Linked DNA regions of Oryzias latipes. The protein of the gene in region 1 interacts with the protein of each later gene in a biochemical or structural test. Links are inferred from orthologs where the notes say so. Each region holds a gene or a part of one and is shown on either strand. Other genes may lie near its edges.

Region 1 (4,376 bases):
GCATTTTTTTTAACTGTACAAAAAGTGTGTTTATTTATTAATAAAGTAGCATAGCTATTTAAAAAATAAACTAAATAATCCTGATGGTCTCAATTATATGTTAGATCTTTATCTTCTAAAGGGAGACAAAAATTTGGAGAGGATAGATGCCAGATTGAATAAAACTGTAAGCGGAGGACAGAAGAAAGCCAAAAAATATTAAAGTCCCCCACCAAAGATGTGGTGGAGGAAAGTATACAGCAGCTAACCTGGATGCATCTTCTGCAAAATTTCATATCATCCTGGAAGGAGAGTCCAGCAGCAAACCACAACCCACTACAAGGAACAAAAAGACATTATTATAAGTTTACATTTTTGGTGGCTACTGAACTTTACTAGTAACTTGAGAAGAAGTGAATGACAGGACCGCTTGGGAGAGGGCCATCCAAAACTTTGCAAAGTCATCAGGGGTTAGCTGCATTTTAGGAATTCATATTTATAATAGGACAAAATCATCCATTGTGACTTTTAATTTTTAGAAATGATTACAATCAGTATGACCACCAAGTTCAATAGTAAAAAAAAAAAAAGCATCTAAATCTTCAAACTGAGCTCATCAGAAAATAGTTATGACACTAAATTAAATCAGGTTGGATATTTTTGTGGTTCCCTGAACTTATCAGGCAATAAACTATTTAAATTGTCACCTATATGGGAAGTTTTAAATACTTTTGAGAAGGAAAAAAGAAAGATGCATAAACAAAATCAAACACAGACACATTCTATTTACCTTTCTAAAATTAACAAAGAGCTGAAAGTTTGATTTTAGAACACTGATTAAACATTAAAGACAAATAAAATACTTTCTTAATTCAATGTGGACAAATAAATATAATTTTCTTAAACAAGTGAAGCCGATAAAGCATTTTGAAAGCAGTCCCGTCGCTGCTTCGGCGTCTTTTAAACGTCTTACTATTCTTTAGGTTCAGGACTAAGAGACTGAACAGTTCCTTCAGTAGCTGTGCTCATGATGCCATCAACGGGCTTAATAAAGCATGAATATAATAACAGTTAGCTTATATTCGGAGCGGTATAACATCACAAGTGATTGTTAAAGACCTATGGATCAAACCGGTGTGTCATCTTCTCACGCCCAACTGCTTAGATCCATTCCAAAGCGGAATCAGACGAAACCCATCTCTAAACAATTAAAAGCCCATCGTTAATCCAAACAGACGCTTTTCCCGAGAAATTCTTTACTTACAGATGATACGATAAATCTCGTCATGGCTGGAATTTGAGAGGCATGTTCAGAGTTAACGTCCGTTCTCTCTTTGTATCGCTAATGTAGGACTCCAAATCCCGGTGAGGATGACAAACGTTTATGGGCTTGCATTACAGTTAGCTGTCCGACTAGCTAACGTGCTCGTCGTTCCCCTGAAACTGCGGGATAGGCGAGCAGGTCTCTCACCACCAGCCCACCGTTAGCTAGTGACGCTGTGTGGAGCCAGCGGATTGTGGGGCCCATTCAAACTGGTTCGTCAACAAGTCAGCGTTAACCATTAGCCACGTTAGCCGAATAAGCTACCAAGCCAGGTTAGCCTCTGAGCACTGAAGCTCAAACCGCCCCCTTGTATTAATGTAATTACCCACCGCACTGACAGTAAGTCAAATCGGAGGCGGAACGTAACAGGGTCTCAATCATACAATGACAGTGTCTGATATAGCAAAGTTAGCAAAAACGTTAACACTGTGCAGACATGACTTCCATTGACTGCTACACATCATTTACAGCCGACATCAAGACTAAATCCGCCCAGCGTTAAAATCCGTCCACTGACCTACTGACTGGAGGCGAACGTTAACGCTGGCTTTACAGGAAAAAATGTTAGCTAGCCGCCACACCAGCTACCATCCTTGTCTACCGCGTCCATCATTGTTAACTATTCCCTCTGCAGAGTGAAAAAAATCCGCCGAAAGATGTAGTATCCACGCCATGAAACGATCATGCGCAACAGAACAGTTTGCGATTACTCACCTCTGATGGCACGATCTTCATTTAAAGTCCAATAACCTGTAAGATGAGGAAACTTATCCAGCTTGAGATTCTCCCCTCCCTGCACGGTTAGCGAGTAAATCCAATCTCTGTACTCAGATCGGCAAGCTCTAAAATAACCCGTCAGTCACATCTGGTATGCACTTCATGGCTCAAGCTTTAATGCGCAACATCCAAGGCCGAAATAACTTCAGCAAATGTTAATATTACCCGATGACAAGCAACATGCTAAGCAGCACGCATAAGTCAGTAGCTAACCTTAGCGAGCTGGCTAGCTGGATGACAAAATGAGCGCAGCTAACGTTAGCTACCTGCCCTGGTTGGCCTCAAGCTAACTATTCTAGCAACCGCTAAACAAACGTTATGCCAAATTCCGATTTAACGCTATCTTTACAAAATTCACATCGGTCGCTTCGACTAGTGCGACAATACAATTATATCCAGATCATGAAAACACAAACCATAAGCCGCGTCCTCTGATAATTTTGGTTAGGAATTTTGAGTCAATTTTCACAAAATGGCGCGCGGTCCAAACCTGCGCAGTGAACCGGCCCGGTGGACCAGAGACACGGACAACTGAGTTAGTGCGGCGCCGCCTAATTATTTCAGCTCAATTAAAACATCGGCCTCTTGACTTTCTTGATCCGATCCACTGTGCGCATTTCAACATCCAAAAACGTCAAACATATATCTTCTGACAGCATTATTCCGGCGGGAAGGGAGAACATTTGAAAAGACTGAGCAGAGGAAAAAAAAAACCTCCTGACAAAATGGCGATGCTCTAGCTTGTTCCCATGGCAACTGTCAATCAAAAAAAATGGAAGTACCCGGATGCACCAATGACGAATAAAATCTGAACTGACCAGAGTTCTACACATGTAGCTCGCTTGGTGAACCAGACAACATATTTTGTTAGATATTGTGTCTAGCCATGGCTTTATATATATATGTGAATTTTTCTTTGTATAGTCGTTTTTGTGCTGTTGCTGTGTCATACCCTGTTTGCTACCTCTTCAACCTCATATCTATCTATCTATCTATCTATCTATCTATCTATCTATCTATCTATCTATCTATCTATCTATCTATCTATCTATCTATCTATCTATCTATCTATCTATCTATCTATCTATCTATCTATGTATCTATCTATCTATCTATCTATCTATCTATCTATCTATCTATCTATCTATCTATCTATCTATCTATCTATCTATGTATCTATCTATCTATCTATCTATCTATCTATGTATCTATCTATCTATCTATCTATCTATCTATCTATCTATCTATCTATCTATCTATCTATCTATCTATCTATCTATCTATCTATCTATCTATCTATCTATCTATCTATCTATCTATCTATGTATCACAATTTTGTCAGAAATAGTCTACATTAATTTAGAAAATTTTAAAATATAAGGCTCTATTTTGTTATCTGTTTACAAATCACAATTGTATAAAACTAGTGATACCCATATAATTAAAGATTAATATCCTTTAAACTTTGAAAAGGTTTTAAAAAAACAACCTTATCCTTGTAAGTTTGAGTTATGCTGCAACAATAATCAAATGCTGCTTTTAAAAAGAAATTCCAGTTGCATGCAGTAGATTAGTACTGGCCACATTGCAGGAGATGTATGGGTGTTAACTTGTCACTGAACCAATTAATGCTGAATCAGTAGTTGGGTTAAGCATGTTCATTGTGTAAAAATTTGTGGTTGTAAAATTGTACAGTGCTAACAGTCCATGGTGAATTATTTTAAGGCCTTTTCATGCCCATATGCAAAAACTGGAATATAAATGTTAAAAAAAATTCTAACTTTTTTTTTAACGGATTTATAGTTTTTAATACTGTTAAATTTTAGACTTTAACCATCATGAAAGCCTGAGATGGAATATGATAAATTCTGCCTGTATTTCTCAGCTTTACTTGGTTAGACTTAAGTGAAATACCCTTGATTTTTATTACAGCTAGCAACCAAATCAGACAATAACAGCATTTCAGGGACACAAACTTCCTTGTTCATATTTTATATTGTGAAGCTAATTTGTAACTGACTTGTCGCAGAGAGGCGACTGGCATTGTTTCATAGTACAGTACACTTAACAATCAGATTGGTCAATCTATGCGCTACAGAGTCCAGAGCTCATGAACCCTGCTAATATTCAATTATTATTATTGTTATCTGTTGGTGCAAATTTTGATTGGTGTGTTGTGAAATGTGTGTTTAAATGACTGAAGATGCTTCTCAGCTGTCATGAGTCAGCTGAACTGGTGATTTGAGACCTTGTCCTAAGTGTACATTTAGGTTAAAGAAGATAGAACCAAACAAAT
Region 2 (4,417 bases), on another chromosome or scaffold:
CTCCACTCTGTTTATTCTGACCGGCTGAAAGTTGGTGGATGGCTGCTACTTCAGCTCAGCATCCTTTACAGGTGAGACTCATAAGAGAGCCCTAACTTTGCAGTTTATATCAGGTGAAAGTAACTCTTCTCGTAACTTTTTGCATTGCAAAGTGCTAAATACTGTAAGGCAGACCTCATATTTACATCTAGTTGGTGGGAATGTAAAGGCAATAAAGAATTTGTTGATTTTGAGTAGATCTTTGTCTTCCTTCCAGTTTCTACCTTTTTCATCCTCTGTCCTATGGCATGATGGGTCCTCTTGCCCATGAGCCGGGCAGTGCCATGGCAGGCCTGAAGTGGATAGACTCCTGGGACTTCTAGTTATCCTTGTTTGATTAAGATGTCACAGACACGGAGCATTTTGAGCCGAGGGAATTTCAAAACATCAGTTTGAGTCTAAACATTTCATTTGTCTTTCTGTAAGAAAAAATGTGAATTCAGTCAGTTTGGAAAGCAGATTGTAGAATCTTTTAAGATGCACTGGAGTTGTCACCAAGTTGCCTTTAGTGACAAACTAAATTCCATTTGAAAGAGACAGTAGTTGTTGTTTTTTTTAAAGCCAGAACATTTTACATGTATTTTTAGTTGAGATTGTCCTGAGCTTTAGTATTATACTTTTGATTTTGTGTTTTTATTATGTTGATCAATAAATTGTTTTATTCTTGTATTTCATGTCCTGTTATATTTGCAAAATTTACAAACACAAAACGAGATGTGCCGCAAAGTCAAAAAATTGGAAAACTCAATATATATATATATATATATATATATATATATATATATATATATATATATATATATATATATAATAAATTGTACCGTTTTTTTATGTATACTTAAGTTCAAACTTGTAAAATCTGTGAAACATGGGCCTAGTAAACTAAATGCAAGAAATTGTTGTTATAAAAATATAAACTAAATGCAAAACATTCCAAATCTGGGATGTGAAAGTCTTGTTTAATAATTGAGTTATGGTTTTTCTTTCCAGAAATAAAAACTAGAGGGAATAAAAGGTGATTTAAATGTCCCCTAAGGTAAAACCATAAAATGTACCAGCATTGTAACATTTCATTGAGACTATGGTGGGCTTAAATAAGGGTCTTTTCATTAAGTTATGACAGTAATGTTCGTACTACAATTTCTAAGACGATATAAATCTTTGAATAAAACGAACAGTAATCTTCTGTGCCTCTTGTAAACAGCGCGAGCACCATTGCCGCCCTCTAGCGGCGTAATTTTGAAAAACATCGCCACACCTCAAAACAGAGCGCGGCCGCTGCGATTGGTTGTTGCATGTCACATGATTATTTTGAAGATGGCGTCTCCAAATGGAGGTAAATTTTAATTCTTCTCTCCGATACGCTTTGAATACATCGCAAATGTGACAGTTTCGAGACATTTAAGTCGTTAACAGTTATAACGCAGTGTAATGTGAACACCCAGAGGTAACGTAAAATTTGTCGTAGGACTAAATTCTTGTTTAATCGGTTTGTTTTTCTTCCTTTGTTTTTCCTGATTCTGGGACTGACATTGTCCGCCGTTGATGATGACAGCAGCAGTCCAGATTGTTCTTCTTGTTGCTTCGTTTGGCCGTTTGGCTCGAATTAGCATCAGTGCTACATTTAGCACTTAGTTATTTTTCTCTACTTTAAATTAGTAGTAGCTGTTTTGGTTGCTTGTTAGATTTTGTGTGACTGTTCGACTCCTTTGATTGAAAATGGAATCAGTCTGCTATTAAGTATTATGTCCGTAATGAGTATCTTTTAATGTGTTAAAAATGTTGAAAGCAAATTCTAAAAAGTTTAACAGTCTGCAGAACCAATAATGTTATTAGTTAGTAATTCACACTCTGTCAAGAGTTATTGAAATTTTGGATACAATTCTCTATATTGGTGAAGGACCAGTGTTCAGATTTGATAGCAAAAGTAATTGTTGATAAGAAAGAAAACCCTTTATACATATACAGACAAATAAGAAAGAAAAGTGTCTCTAACAAGTGTGCCAAGAAAAGATCCCCCATACCATCACACCACCACCACCAGCAGCCTCAACTGTTGATACAAGGCAGGATGGATCTATGGTTTTATGTTGTTGATGCTACCATCTGAATGTCCCAGCAGGAATGGAGACTCTTCAGACCAGATGTTTTTCTAATCTTCTATTGTCCAGTTTTGGTGAGCCTGTGTGAATTAAAGCTTCAGTTTCCTGATCTTAGCTGACAGTAATGGCAGCATTAGGTGTGGTCTTCTGCTGCTGTAGCCTATCTGCCTCAAGGGTTGTTCAGAGATGCTCTTCTGCAGACCTTGGTTGAAACCAGTGGTTCTTTGAGTTCCTGTTTCCTTTCTATTAGCTGGAACCGGTCTGGCCATTCTCCTCTGATCTCTCACATCAACGAGGCATTTCTGTTTAAATGGCCAAACATATTTTTACAGCAGTGTAAGAGTTATTAGTAGATGATCAGATCACCACATGACTATGACCTCTTTGAACATTTTAATTGATCAGTGTTTGTACGAATCTTAAATGAATAAAACCATTTATTCTCATTCGAAACTGCCTAATTTTAAGACCAGATAAATATTAGATTTTTTCCTCTCTTTCTGTCTAGATAAAACATGAAACAAAAGTTGTTTTTAGGTTTCAATTTTTGACCTGTTTATAAAAAGTTACTTTTTAATTTTTTTTAAATTAACATTTGGCTGAATTTTATAGTTGACCACTGATTTCCAAAAGCATAGAACTTAAAAAACTAAAGAACATGTCAAAGTGAACCACTGTGTGCTTCTGCAGGGGAGGATTTTGAGATTTCGTTGCTGAGTTTTGAGAAGCTGGACAGAGCATCACCTGACCTGTGGCCAGAGCAGTGTAAGTTTCTATCCTCCCACGCCCAGCTGATAAAAAATTACTTTGTAATTGATTCTTTATGTGAATTCTCACACAGTGCCTGGAGTTGCAGAGTTTGCGGCAACTTGCAAAAATGTGAGTTTAGCTCTGATCTAAAGATGCAGGATTGACTCTGCATAGACTGATTGGAGTTGAGACTTTGTATGTTGTTGTTTTTCTCTTTTTATTGCAGCCTATCACCACCTCTCCTCCAAAGTGGATGGCTGAGTTGGAGAGTGAGGACATTGAAATGTTGAAAGGTTGGTTCAGACAGCTGACATTTATCCTGTATAAACCTTAGGGAAAACATTAAAAACCCACTCTGATAAGAAAAACCGTGTTTTGAACATGTTCTTGTGGCATTTGATATCTTGACATCTGATAATGGAGGACACGTATAAAGAAAATTAAGCTTGAAATTGCATTTCTGAGTTCTTATTTATTCAAATCGTTGTGAATCAGGAGCAGATGAAAAAATGCTGTTTGAAATTTCTTATTTCTTAATCAATATTGCTCGCCATTTTCGTTTCTAAGGTTAGGTTGGGGGTGTGAGTGGCTGTAAGCTAGCAGTAGAGTGTATAAACTGATGATCTACTGCAGCTCTGCTCTAACTGTCCTTAAAAATCACACAGTGTTTTTTTTCTATCTCGGCAAAAAACGGCATAATCATTCATTAAAAGACCTCTGGGAACGCCTTTTAACCCTTGTGCTATCTTAGATGACCCCACCCTTACATTGACGTGTTCTTCCGACCATGACAAAGGTGGATAAAGGTGGAAAGATTTCATGTAATCCATGGACACCAGTGAAGATCATAAATCATTGAAGAAAAAAAGTTCAGCGCACTGTCTAGTGGGTCTACATGACCCAACTCCCAACGTTAAAGTGCCTAGGATAGCACAAGGGTTACAACAGATCAAAAGATCAAATCCGAGTGGGACTTTAAATAATAATTCATGTTTCTTTAGCTAATTAAGTATCTCTAAATGCTTTTATTTAGTGTGATGTTATACCTCTGCAGAGCTGGGAAGTCTGACTACAGCCAATCTGATGGAAAAAGTCAAAGGACTTCAGAATCTGGCTTACCAGCTGGGTTTAGAGGAGTGTAAGTATAACAAAGACACTTCACCACTAGGGGGGGCTAAAAGCATTTCCACGCAATTCTCTGCCGCTGAAGTCTTTGGCTGCTTCCACATTCAAATTCCAAACAGGTTGACCTCACTTGGATTTCAAAATGATAATTTAGCTTTTTTTTTAATTTTCTTTCTTTTTAGATCACATTTGATTTACACAACAGGAGTAAATTGACTTCATGGTTTTCAAATAACGGATTCGGGTCAGTCTTGTTCGAATGAAAAACATGAAGCAGAAGCTCATGCAACAAATGCACAAACATTTAGTTTAATGCAAAATCTATTTATTTAATCCATTCCCCACCGCCTCCATTGTCCTAATCCTTGTAGAGTGTGGATTAAGGAGCTAAGTGCTCATAT

Evidence for each region.
Region 2: of the proteins of dyrk1a (region 1) and lin52, one has a biochemical effect on the other in vitro, tested with the Homo sapiens proteins (3 studies listed by BioGRID). The link is inferred for Oryzias latipes from reciprocal best matches to the Homo sapiens genes DYRK1A and LIN52.

What each region holds. Positions count from the first base shown.
Region 1 is NC_019871.2:12,323,540-12,327,915, reverse strand, and holds the start of dyrk1a (dual specificity tyrosine-phosphorylation-regulated kinase 1A), read right to left. Parts: upstream 2,822-4,376; 5' UTR 2,018-2,821; intron 1,436-2,017; exon of another isoform or gene 1,244-1,435; intron 316-1,243; 5' UTR 259-315; coding exon 249-258; intron 1-248. UniProt on the Homo sapiens protein: Dual-specificity kinase which possesses both serine/threonine and tyrosine kinase activities. Exhibits a substrate preference for proline at position P+1 and arginine at position P-3.
Region 2 is NC_019880.2:13,721,214-13,725,630, forward strand, and holds the start of lin52 (protein lin-52 homolog), read left to right. Parts: upstream 1-1,338; 5' UTR 1,339-1,341; coding exon 1,342-1,375; intron 1,376-1,426; exon of another isoform or gene 1,427-1,486; intron 1,487-2,161; coding exon 2,162-2,215; intron 2,216-2,831; coding exon 2,832-2,906; intron 2,907-2,982; coding exon 2,983-3,020; intron 3,021-3,117; coding exon 3,118-3,184; intron 3,185-3,945; coding exon 3,946-4,029; intron 4,030-4,417. Other genes in the region: pomt2 (protein O-mannosyl-transferase 2), read left to right, coding at 1-71, 257-362.